3 linked regions of the Coturnix japonica genome follow. The protein of the gene in region 1 binds, or shares a complex with, the protein of each later gene. Links are inferred from orthologs where the notes say so. Each region holds a gene or a part of one and is shown on either strand. Other genes may lie near its edges. The genes, in order: CNOT10, CNOT7 and CNOT8.

The links.
Region 2: CNOT10 (region 1) and CNOT7 share a complex: the UniProt entries of both Homo sapiens proteins name them as parts of the CCR4-NOT complex. The link is inferred for Coturnix japonica from reciprocal best matches to the Homo sapiens genes CNOT10 and CNOT7.
Region 3: CNOT10 (region 1) and CNOT8 share a complex: the UniProt entries of both Homo sapiens proteins name them as parts of the CCR4-NOT complex. The link is inferred for Coturnix japonica from reciprocal best matches to the Homo sapiens genes CNOT10 and CNOT8.

Annotation. Positions count from the first base shown.
Region 1 is NC_029517.1:37,323,409-37,327,057, reverse strand, and holds part of CNOT10 (CCR4-NOT transcription complex subunit 10), read right to left. Parts: intron 3,005-3,649; coding exon 2,843-3,004; intron 2,601-2,842; coding exon 2,450-2,600; intron 1,684-2,449; coding exon 1,538-1,683; intron 632-1,537; coding exon 545-631; intron 1-544. UniProt on the Homo sapiens protein: Component of the CCR4-NOT complex which is one of the major cellular mRNA deadenylases and is linked to various cellular processes including bulk mRNA degradation, miRNA-mediated repression, translational repression during translational initiation and general transcription regulation.
Region 2 is NC_029519.1:56,948,054-56,951,702, reverse strand, and holds part of CNOT7 (CCR4-NOT transcription complex subunit 7), read right to left. Parts: intron 1,204-3,649; coding exon 1,093-1,203; intron 1-1,092. UniProt on the Homo sapiens protein: Has 3'-5' poly(A) exoribonuclease activity for synthetic poly(A) RNA substrate. Its function seems to be partially redundant with that of CNOT8.
Region 3 is NC_029528.1:5,997,872-6,002,006, forward strand, and holds the start of CNOT8 (CCR4-NOT transcription complex subunit 8), read left to right. Parts: upstream 1-1,272; 5' UTR 1,273-1,364; exon of another isoform or gene 1,365-1,653; intron 1,654-2,029; 5' UTR 2,030-2,115; coding exon 2,116-2,232; intron 2,233-2,734; coding exon 2,735-2,928; intron 2,929-3,627; coding exon 3,628-3,789; intron 3,790-4,132; coding exon 4,133-4,135. Other genes in the region: FAXDC2 (fatty acid hydroxylase domain-containing protein 2), read right to left, coding at 34-163, 249-490. UniProt on the Homo sapiens protein: Has 3'-5' poly(A) exoribonuclease activity for synthetic poly(A) RNA substrate. Its function seems to be partially redundant with that of CNOT7.

The sequences.
Region 1 (3,649 bases):
TTTAGAATATCAACAACAAATTTATACAATTCCTATCTGCAAGAGGCAAACGTGCATTTTATTCACTGGCAAACATTCAACAGCTTTACATTCAAATACCAAAACATCAGCACATAAAACAACAAATTAATTAAAATAATTTAACCTGTAAATCCCAGACAGTTACCTGTTCAACCAATAAGCAAAAGGTGATAGTGAAGCATATTGTTTCTTCACTCATTTTCCCAAAGAGCAGTACTGGGAAATAAAACCTCACTGATTTAGACTGTCTTGCAGACAAACAAATGTAAGATTATTAGAGCTAAATGCCATTTAACAAAATTATGTTAAGATGTAGGTATTGAAACTGGGATTTTTCTTAGGTCAGTTTCTCCTGTACGTGGATCTTAAAAAAAAGGGTCAGTTAAATTCATTTTTCTGACCTACAAAATGAAATTGAAGATGACAATATCACAATTCATGCTGAGCTAGATTTGAGGCAGGCAGCTCTCAGTTTTAAGGAAGACTGAATGGATATTCTTGTACAAATCACACACACACCCACCTGATGTATTTTAGATTTAGCAGCTTCTATTAAAGCTCCACTTTCAGCTTTTTGATTGGAGGAATCTTTATTTGTATTATTACCTGACTGTCAAAAGAAAACAAAAAACAGAAATAAATAAAAAAGCATTAGGAGCTTATGAAGGAAACCGTAAACTGAACTTAAAAGGTGATTGGTAAAAACAATCTCTTTTAATGATGAAAACTGATATTCAATAATGTTAAAAGAAAAACAAACAAATACAAAAATGTCCATATATTCCACCAAAAACTTGTAACTTAAGCTTTGCAATCAAAACCAAAGAAGGAGGACATCAGCCTATGAGGTACAGAGCTCTATATGAAGGTTAGCATTACGCTAATCTGCTCCAGCATTGAGGAATTCTAAGAATGCTCTTATTCAGAAATATAGTTTGCATGCTCCTGATTCTCTTCTCCATATTTTCTCTGGCAGAACTATTATATACTCAAAAATAAAGTTGTATCTTAAGTGTGACATTTTATCAACAGGAGAAGACAAAAGTGTCCACTTTCCACTTCCAAGCCACTACCCATTCTATAGTAGTTTCCAAAAGGTACATATCAAAGATTGCATTTGAAAGCCCACCTCATACTTCCAGACAATACATTAAAGGAATTTTTGACTTCTCACCCTGTGGCACTAATTTCACTGACATTTCAAACACAGAGTATCACACAGTCGTCATCTGGGACACCAGGAAAACCAAGTATATTTGGCACTGAAGACAACTGACTTTCTAATATAAGTCTCTGACTTGGGACACTTCTTAGCTCTTGGCACAAAAAGGGTGGGAAGGAAAGAACATACAGCTACTGTACACAATTAACTTGGTTATTAAAATGTGGCAGTTGTCTGAAGTTACAGATATCTTAACAGCTTTAAAATTCTGAACTATTTTAAAAGACTACTTTTGGATTTAATAAAAACATACCTTTGGTAAAGACAGCGGCATTCATGCCATTTTAAGCTTACCTCATTTTTTCCATTCTTGCTGTTATTGTTGCCCTGTGAAATCATTTTTTCCAGGACAGCAAGGAGATGCAAGGCCTTCTCAGCCTGGTAAGTCAGCAGGTATAAGTCCACAAGCAGGAAGCACACAGCCTGGGCAAACTTCTCCTCTATATCAAACAAAAGTAGATCAGTATTAGGACTGTAAGATCCTTCCTATCTAAACAATCACAGAACAAAAAAAGCAATAATTAGAAAACCACTTTAACAGCTGCAAAGTGCATCTACACAATGTTATGAGAAAAACCAAATACTAAATAAGAAAAAAAGATAAAAAAGCAGACACCTACATCACACAGACAAGTATGTTAACACAAAGAGGTAATTCTTTCATACCCATGTCATCTGAAAGCAAAGACCAAAGACAGCTTAAAAATCACTTCACATTGATTTTGAGTACTGATCTAAGCACACTGGCACCAAGGATCCAGCGTCTAAAGAGACTGATGGGCCATAAGCCTATACAGAATCTTACAGAACTTAAGGATTCCATACAAACACATCTCTGCATGGCTGGTTTCACAGAGTAAGCTCCACACAGGCATACTGAGAACTGAGGGAGAAACAGCATTATACTTACTGGATTTGTTGAGACCCACACATACAAACACTTCATCCCTGTTGCTTCATAAAATACCTCCTGAAGTTGTCAAATATCTGTTTTAGTTTTGTTATACTCATCTGCTAAGTGTCTCTGAAGCACCTTCCCACCCAAATTCAAATGCTGTCCTTATAAGTAAAGATTACTCATCATTCCTAAGCCTGTCTTTTTTTTATTACTATTATGTACGTTTACAAGTCACTTTTCTGATAAGCAGAGGAAGATCATTTACTCTGCCTCGTTACTGCACAAACAAAACTCTTCTGCCTACACACCGAAAGGCTCTATAAACTGGTACAGCTTCTCTCCAACTGATATAGCTTCAGTATACTGACGCAGATGATACAAAATAACAGCTTGATTGTAGTAAAGCATACTATTTTCAACATCATCTAAACCATCCATTTCTTCAACAGCAGAGTGAACCTGAAAAAAAACCCAAAACACACAGAACTGAATCTTGTTTATCCTTAAGCTTTCCAAACTTATGATGTTAAAGCATCAAATGTTTATTATAGAAAAATAATCCAAAGGTACTAATGAGCCTAAAGATAGGGCAGTAACAGTTACAAGTTAACAAAGGGAAGAGGCAAAACTTGTCTTCCTATTTCACTGGAAGATCCCATCCCCATTAACAATGCTTAAATATCATGCAGTGGTTGCATTACCTGGTTCTTCAGCTGGTTCAGGGTTTGTCTCAAATTGTCTGTTGTGGTCTGGTTACTTTTACAAAACTCTGCAACTGCAGTATTCAAAGTTATTTTGTAGTCATCTTTGTTTATGTCTTGAAGGGTGTTCAGGTGTTGCAAACAGGCATCATAATTTCCCGCCTGGAAACAGCAGGCATCACAAAGGGATTAGTTTAAACTTTGTATCCTCTAATAAGTCAATAATTTTTAATGGCAGCCTCCTCCTCTCTCTGAGTCTAGAGAGCAATGTAGGATTTCCCTGACCAACACAAGTAAACAGCTCCACACCAACTCCATTTGTCATGCAGACTGAAATGTATGAGAAGCAAGTCAAAGCTGAGGTCCTAACTAAAACTGAACAAGAATTCAATGGAGAAAGAACAAATAGAACAGTTAACTATTACAAACATGTTTCTACAAAAACTGTTGTTCTTTTGGCGTCATTATATCAAGCTTCAAGATTCTTTATTTCCTCAGTTTCCACAATCTGTCTCCATCACACGTACACTGAGCAGCTGCCTGTCTAACTCGTGGCCCACCTTTTTATGTTTGTCTCTCACTTCATCTTCAGACTGAGTTCCAGTTTAGCCCCTGGATGTCTGCTTAACACAGGCCGGCAGAAGAGGAAGGTTACACACCTTTCCTAACTTTCCCAAGAGAGCCTTAATTTATGTTGCTGAATGAATTATTCAAGAATATTATGCTCACCTTGAGGTGCCATCCAACCCAAGCCATTCTATGATACGATTCTATGATTCTATGGAAATGTACGCACTGGCTTTGTAA
Region 2 (3,649 bases), on another chromosome or scaffold:
TTTTGGTTCAAATACAAAAGATTGCAGTTAACAGCACCTGTGAAGATCACAGGTGGACCACATCATAAGCAACATCCTCTACGTAACCCATGACCAGCTCAACAACATCAACAGTTTCAGGAGAGGAGAACAGCATTGTGATGAGCAAGCCAGATTACATCACAGCACTTATATTTCATCTGCTGTTTCACTAGCAGTTGTTAGAAACTCACAGTCGGCTTTTTTCCTTTATAAAAAAGGCCACGTTACAGCAAGTAGAAGCCTCAGCATTCAACACTAAACCCTACAAAAAGATGAGGCTCGCTATCGCCACTATTAAATGACACCAAATTCCTGGCAGAATGTCACATTCAGATGCCCCAGCATTTGTCCAGTGTAACTGCTTTCAAGAAGCCTGTTTAGAATTTGTTTATTCTGCTCATACAAAATATCCTAATATTCTCCCAATGCATGCAGACAAGTAGCATGGACACACAAAGCTTACAAGTCTTGATTTCCCTTTCTGCAAAATTGACTGACATGTTTTAGAATCTGAGTTATTTTGTCTGTGCTTTACCAAAGGTGAACTCAGGATGAACAATTGCATCGTTCTCTGCAGCAGCCTACAGGTTTAATACATATGTACCCCGCAAGTTTTAGCTGGAAGCAGCCAGCGCAGGCAGAGCTGCTCATTCCCTGCTGCTAGGCCTGGCACAGGCAGCAGTGCACACCAGCTGGGTATTACAGCTCAGCAGAAGCTCTGCAGAAAAGCAGCCCGAATACAGTTACCCAGAAAAGAGCCTGGCTCCAGCAGCCACTTTGCAGAAGAAATCCTGCAAAACAGGCAATGGAAAGAAAGAAACAACAACAACAACAAAGCCAGCCATACAATGAAAACAAGCAGTGATGCTCACAGTAGCTAAACAGGGAAAACAGTAGGGCTGGTTTACACTTAGTCTGGGGAAAACACAGTCTTAAGTCTGTCAAGAAAGCAGGGGCCTCTGAAGCCCCTTAGAGATCACCATAAAATTCATCAGACGTAACAGAATCAGCAATTCCATCTATTACAGCAAATTACTACTATGGAGACAAAACCAAGACACGTGCACCTACTTCTCTCATTTTGAAAAAGGCCATTCCTGTGAGCAAAGAATCAGATCCTGCCTGATGCTGTGGTCCTATCCTTTCCAGCTCTAACTGCTCAGCCACTTCTTGCAATCCACCCTGAAAATGAAAACATTTGTTAACTGCTGAAAAAAAAAATGAAAACAAAACCAAACATCAGTATTTGGGAAGAACTTGTTATACCAGACTTTCAACTTCAGCATATTTTAAATGCTTGCACAGAAGCTTAAATAGTCTCTTTGATGGAAGATAAAGCTTTCTCTATCAACAGTTGAATTCAGTTCCATCTCAGAGGAGCTTAAATCAAGCAGCGCCTGTGTCCAATAGAACTACTACTGCTTCATGTTCCATCCTCCCGAGGGAACAGACGCTGCTACTTAACAAAACAATCCCTTCAAGAGGTTGCAAGGACTGGCAAAGCTGAAGAACAAAACAAGGTGTTCCTATAACCCTTCTATTTGAATGAAAGTTTAAACAGTAAAAATGTCATTCTACAAATACAAGAATTCAAGTTCTTACAAATGGGTGCTTTGTTAAAAGTATCCAGGCTTCCTCTGAAACAGACTCATTTTCTCTTCCACTTTTTAACAGACCATTTGAGGGTTTTTCAGTTCCCTTTATAAAAACTAGGAGTATCCTTAAATATCTAGGAAGCTACAGGAAAATAAGGAAAAAAAAACAACCCAAGTACACAGCCCAACCCTACAAGACATTCTACTCATCTTTAAAACTTGTTCCATTAACTGCCTCAAGAGGGTAGGAACAAAGAACATACAAATGATGGATTTCTGTTTTGCAAGTTGTTTTTTCAACACAATGAAAACCAAAGACATAAGTCAACTTCCTCTCAGAGATGTATATTTAACAATCACACCACATGGAATGAAACTTACCTCTTACAGAAGAGTATAAGCATCCCACATGCAAAAAGGAACCATTTAACACTCACTGCCTGAATGCTGACACATGGTTTGAAATAACATACTGAAAAGGTACAGAAATCACTGCAAACCTACCTGCCCCTATAAGACCTATAATAACCATTTACAGAAGCAAACAGTCAGAAATTTAGTTTGGTTTTATGTAGATACATCTATCTTTCAAGTGATGTGCATGATACTTCAACTGTGATCTTTGTAAACTGTGGGAATATAATTTTGTACTATTTAAAAAACATTAAGCCTTAAATCCCTAGAAATGCACTAAAGCATGTGGCATGTGCCTTATAGTCCAGAAAGATCAAAAACCAAGGAGAAAAGGAGAAGCCTTTAGTGAAAATACAAGCCTTTGCAGGGTAAAAACATCACACAGACAAAACGATCTTAAATCAATACTGCCCAGCATCTGAGGTTACCTGTGTCCTCAAAACCTTTAGCCTGTTTCAACCACGGAAAAGGAAACAATAAGAGGTAAAAGTATAACAGTCAGTGTTAGAATTGATACACTAACAGAAATCTGACCAAGAGGTCAGACCTAACATTATGAAAATTTCTATGAATCTAAATGCAACACATCTTAAAAACAAATCTCCAGTAATAACATTCCCAAGTAACACCAAGCAAACCAACACGGTACTGGCATGTCTAGCTTTATTCTAGCTTGAACAGGTGAGTATCACTTGCTTAAATTTGAGAATTACCCTATATGTAGTACAGTCAAGCACTGAAGTTTGTTTTCTTCCTTTGCTTAGAGATAACATTCAATCACTGCATATACACTAATTCAGTGGTTTAAGTTAGACCCTTAAGGAAGTTCAGGGATGATGGGCAGAAAATCAATCAGATCTCAAATAAAAGCACATTCTCTACAACCTAACTTTCCTATTGGCATTAGCAACAGCAGTTGCCTTTCCAAAGCACTATTTGCTGTTTGTAAACTCTTGACTTTCCCAAGCTGACACTTAACATCGCCTCATCATTACGTAGTGCTAGCTGTTAGGCTATCTATACCAGCTTCACTTAGCACCTGATATCACAAATCAGTACTATTTACACAGTGGCTGCAAAATTTATAGGAACAGCAGCAAAGCAAAGAAGGCTTTGAAAATAACCCTTCCAATACATATAGTCACCAGTAGATACATTTGTAAACATATCATTACAATTGCCTCCAAAGATTATTAGGCTACTGAAATTTTATTACAGGAAAGACTTCACGCTCTACATAAGAATATTTAACTTGTGGGGAAGAAAGGCAGTAGAAAGGGATTCAGAAGAAAATGAAAGAACAGCCTATAAATCTACTTTAGAACTGCTATTACTGCAAAAACTGTATGGAGTTGCCTGCATGAAAAGATTTTTAGACCCCAAGCAGGAATTTAACCTGTACTACACAAGTACCTCGAGTTAGTCACAGTCTGCCTGCTGTGTAGTACACTGATGTCCATTTTTGTTAGAGTAGCATACTGTGGATTCATTGTAAGAGCAGCAAACAGTTTCCACATCCTCAAACACTTGTCTTATCAATGCTAAAAATTCACTTTTGGCTATGTGAGGGCAGAGGTAGGTGGGAAGCTTAGAGTAAGTCTGTTTTTTGTATGAAAATA
Region 3 (4,135 bases), on another chromosome or scaffold:
AACCTACAGAAAGAAAATATAAGGATAACCTACCTGCTGTCCACAAAAGCTGTGCATCAGCCACGCTGTACAGTCAGATACAGGACTAGATGCTGTGTCTGGTGGCTCCCCTATTGTGCCAAGCCCTGCATAGCTCAGAAGGCAATTACAGCTCCTGGAAAAGCTTACAGTTGTATTTTAAACATACACAGGACATTGCCCTTTAGTTATTTCTAAGGTTTCAATCGGGTATTTTTAAGCCACGATACCTTTGAGCTCCGTCTCTTTGCTCACCTCCTGCTGGCTGTAGCCCAGTAGAGGTCCTTTGTACACAGTACAACTCCTCACCTTTCACTACTGCTGGGGAGACTTTATGAGGGTTTAACAGCGGGGTGTTTCCAAGCAGGAGTTGGCTGTCCCCTCCCAGACAAGTCATGTGAAGCCAGCACCGTGTCACTGTTAGTGCTGGCACTGCTCCCTGTTGCCACTCAGCCCAGTGCTCAGAATACATCTCTGTAGGTAGGAGTTTGTCATCAGGGTTGAATGGCTGTATATGTGAATAAAAAAGGCAGCTATACCTTAACGATAAGTCATTTCTACCAGAAACTAACTAGTGTTTTCAGCACAAAGCAGCTGATGCCAATGCAACCGAATGGCTCAAAGGCGCATTTGTGCAATGCGTGTGAGTTACGGGGCAGTCTGTAAAGCCAGCAGCACATCTCACTACATATATAACCTGCACCAGCTGTCCCTGCATCAAAGCTCCGTCTATAGGTCCTGTCTATGGGATGAGATGCAAACAGGTTCCGATGTGGTTGTGCTCAGTGGTGTTTCAATGCACTTATAGACCACAACGCCTGTAATTACAGCACTGCGAGGTGTAACTTGATGCAGATATGGCCCCAATCTGCACCACTTACCCCATATACAGGTTGCCCAGTTATTTGGGTTATTTGCATGTTATTTAGGCTCGCTCTGGTGACATAATTCATCTAATATGCTAAAGCAGGCGATAAGAGTGAACTGTGCAATGTCAGCGTTCATTTTAACCCCCGTTCAGTTCAGATATAGCTTCTATCTGAGGGATTTACAGCCTTTAAGATTAAAGGATGCCTTGCTTTGCTTTATACACCGGGTCACAGCGCAGCGCCACGTCACGGCCGGACACACAAGGACACCAGCACTGCGCATGCGCAGCTTTCCCCGTTCCCCCTCCGCGGGAGCGCGCACCAAGCGCGCGCCACCACACACCGCACCGCGCGCCGCTGAGGCTGTACCGGAAATCTCGCGAGAACAAAGCTCCAAACCCGGAAATCCCACCTCAGCCTGAGGCGTCATCGCGCATGCGCTGAAGAGAGAGAGAGAGGCACGGCCACAACTTCCGGGTAGGGCAGGTAGCGCCTGGGGGAGGGGAAGGAGATGGGGAGCGGAGCAGCGGGAGAGCGGGGCGGGACGGGACGGGAAAGGGAGGCACGGAGGGTCCCAGCGGGTCCCGGTAGGTCCCGGTAGGTGCGGGGCCTCTCGCGGTGCGGTGGAGGGCGGCGGTGGCGGCCGTGTCCGGGTGGGCCCCTGCCCTGAGGCGGCGCGGGTCGTGTAGGCCTCAACCGGGCCTGGGGCGGCGCTGGGCCGTTGTTTGTTGGCGGCTGCCTCGGGGAGGCCGATGGTGGTGATGATGTGCCGTATTGTGCCGTACTGTGCCATATTGTGCCGTACTGTGCCGTATTGTGCCGTGTTGTGCTGTACTGTGCCATATTGTGCCGTACTGTGCTATATTGTGCTATATTGTGCCGTATTGTGCTATATTGTGCCGTACTGTGCCATATTGTGCCGTACTGTGCCATATTGTGCCGTACTGTGCCATATTGTGCCGTACTGTGCCATATTGTGCCGTACTGTGCCATATTGTGCCGTGTTGTGCCGTATTGTGCCGTACTGTGCCGTACTGTGCTGTGCTGTGCCGTACTGTGCTGTATTGTGCTGTATTGTGCAGCTCGTTCCTTTTTTCTAGCTCTTTTTTCACTCATAGCTCCGTTCTGTCTGTTTCTTGCAGCACACTGATTAGATCTCGCAGCTTTCGGTTGTAACGCGGCCATCTGAAGGATTGGGGGGAGCTGGCTGTGCCCTGTGCCCGGCAGGATGCCAGCAGCCCTGGCGGAGAACAGCCAGGTGATCTGTGAGGTGTGGGCCAACAACCTGGAGGAGGAGATGAGGAAAATCCGAGAGATTGTGCTGAGTTACAGCTACATCGCAATGGTAAATGCTTGACTCATTTGTCTTATTCAAGGAATAGGGGCTAACGATAGTTGGACCCAGAGATCTTTTCCAGAGTCGATGATTCTGTGGTGGTTATGACAGCTTTGAGTGGGGATGCTAAACTCAAAGATAGGAGAGAAATTTGTAATGAAAGCATGATGTAAAAATACACGTGCCTTCAGAGCGCATAGAATTCAGCGCAGAACAAAGTTGTGTAAGTAAACAGTAAATGTGTATCTACATATTTCATATTGTATGTTGATTGGAAACGAGCTGCCTTGCTTCAATATCATCTCATTCTGGCCTGTTGTAATTGCTGTGCTGAGGCAGTGGGTACAGGAAGATGTGAAGGCAAAAATTCTCTCATGTGCTGGATCCTCTATGAAAGTTTTTGTGTGTTCTGAGTCAATTGATGTCATTTGACTTGAGAGCACAAATTGCTTGCTTTGTCGTTAGGGTCTGCCTTGATTTGCAGCCATAAGGTTTCCTCTTCCTTTTCTAGGACACGGAGTTTCCTGGGGTTGTTGTAAGGCCGATTGGGGAATTCCGCAGTTCCATAGACTATCAGTATCAGCTTCTTCGCTGTAATGTGGACCTTCTGAAAATCATCCAACTGGGCCTGACTTTCACAAACGAGAAAGGAGAGTATCCTTCTGGGATCAACACCTGGCAGTTTAACTTCAAATTCAACCTCACGTGAGTCTTCTGCATTAGGGAGCAACACCAGAAGAGATTATGTGAGGCTCAATGCCGGCATGACAGGCATTGCAGTATTTCTGGAATGATGTTATGATCTCAAACTTTACGTGCTTTTTATACATTTCCATATATTTTATGTAATCAATTAAATGCATGTATACTTACTATATACTTACTATAAGCTGATCATGCAGTTCTTGCAAACAGAAGTGGCAGTGTTTACTTGCACAACTGTCAGCCTCCTAAAAGCATTGGAGTCATAACAAAGAGGTTTTGACACTGAACGCTATTTGACTCAAAGTTATCATGTTTGGTTTGAGTTTTATTGACACTGTGACTCAAAGTTATCGTGTTTGATATGAGTTTTGTTGACTTCTCTCCCATCATCTGTGGCACTTCTGTTCCCTCAGTGTTACTTTTCAAGATGTCTGTTGTGTGAAGGTTTTATGGCATTCTTCAGGTTTGGCAATAGCGACAGAATTAATATTTGGTTAAGATTGCAGAATAGCTTGTTAAATGCATAGGAGTAATGGTATTAAAAGTGATTTGAGCTTCCTAGAGACACAGCCATGGAGCTCAGAGATGGATTGCCTGCAGGTCACTCTGATTTTCCAAAATGCAACTTGTGAGAAATCTTTTGGCAATGAGCCTTCCTTGTTAGCACCCTGACTGCAAAGCTCTGCTTTTCTCCTTCAGGGAGGATATGTACTCTCAGGATTCCATAGACCTCCTTGCAAGCTCTGGGCTGCAGTTCCAGAAGCATGAAGAAGAAGGGATTGATACCCTGCATTTTGCTGAGTTGCTCATGACTTCAGGGGTCGTCCTTAGTGACAGCGTGAAATGGCTGTCGTTTCACAGGTAGGTCTGAGGTGATTACTGGTACTACAGAACAAGATGCCTCTTTTTGGCTTAAATAGTGCTGCTTTGGACCATAGAGACTAACAGACCTTAAGGAGATGGATTTTAGCAGCTGTGCAGTTCTTAATATAAGTTTTAAATTGTAAAGGCGAACTTTAAGTACTGGTACTTCATTTTATCTCAGCACCTTCTGTGATCTGTATTTTGTGCGTGTTTTGCTGTTATCTTCCTCTATGGAAAAGAAGGTTGTAAGTATAGAAAAACACCCTAATGAGACGAATGTAACACTGATACCAGCTGAGTACAGGTGTTGTTTATCAGGTTTCTCTATGTTTGTTTTCAGTGG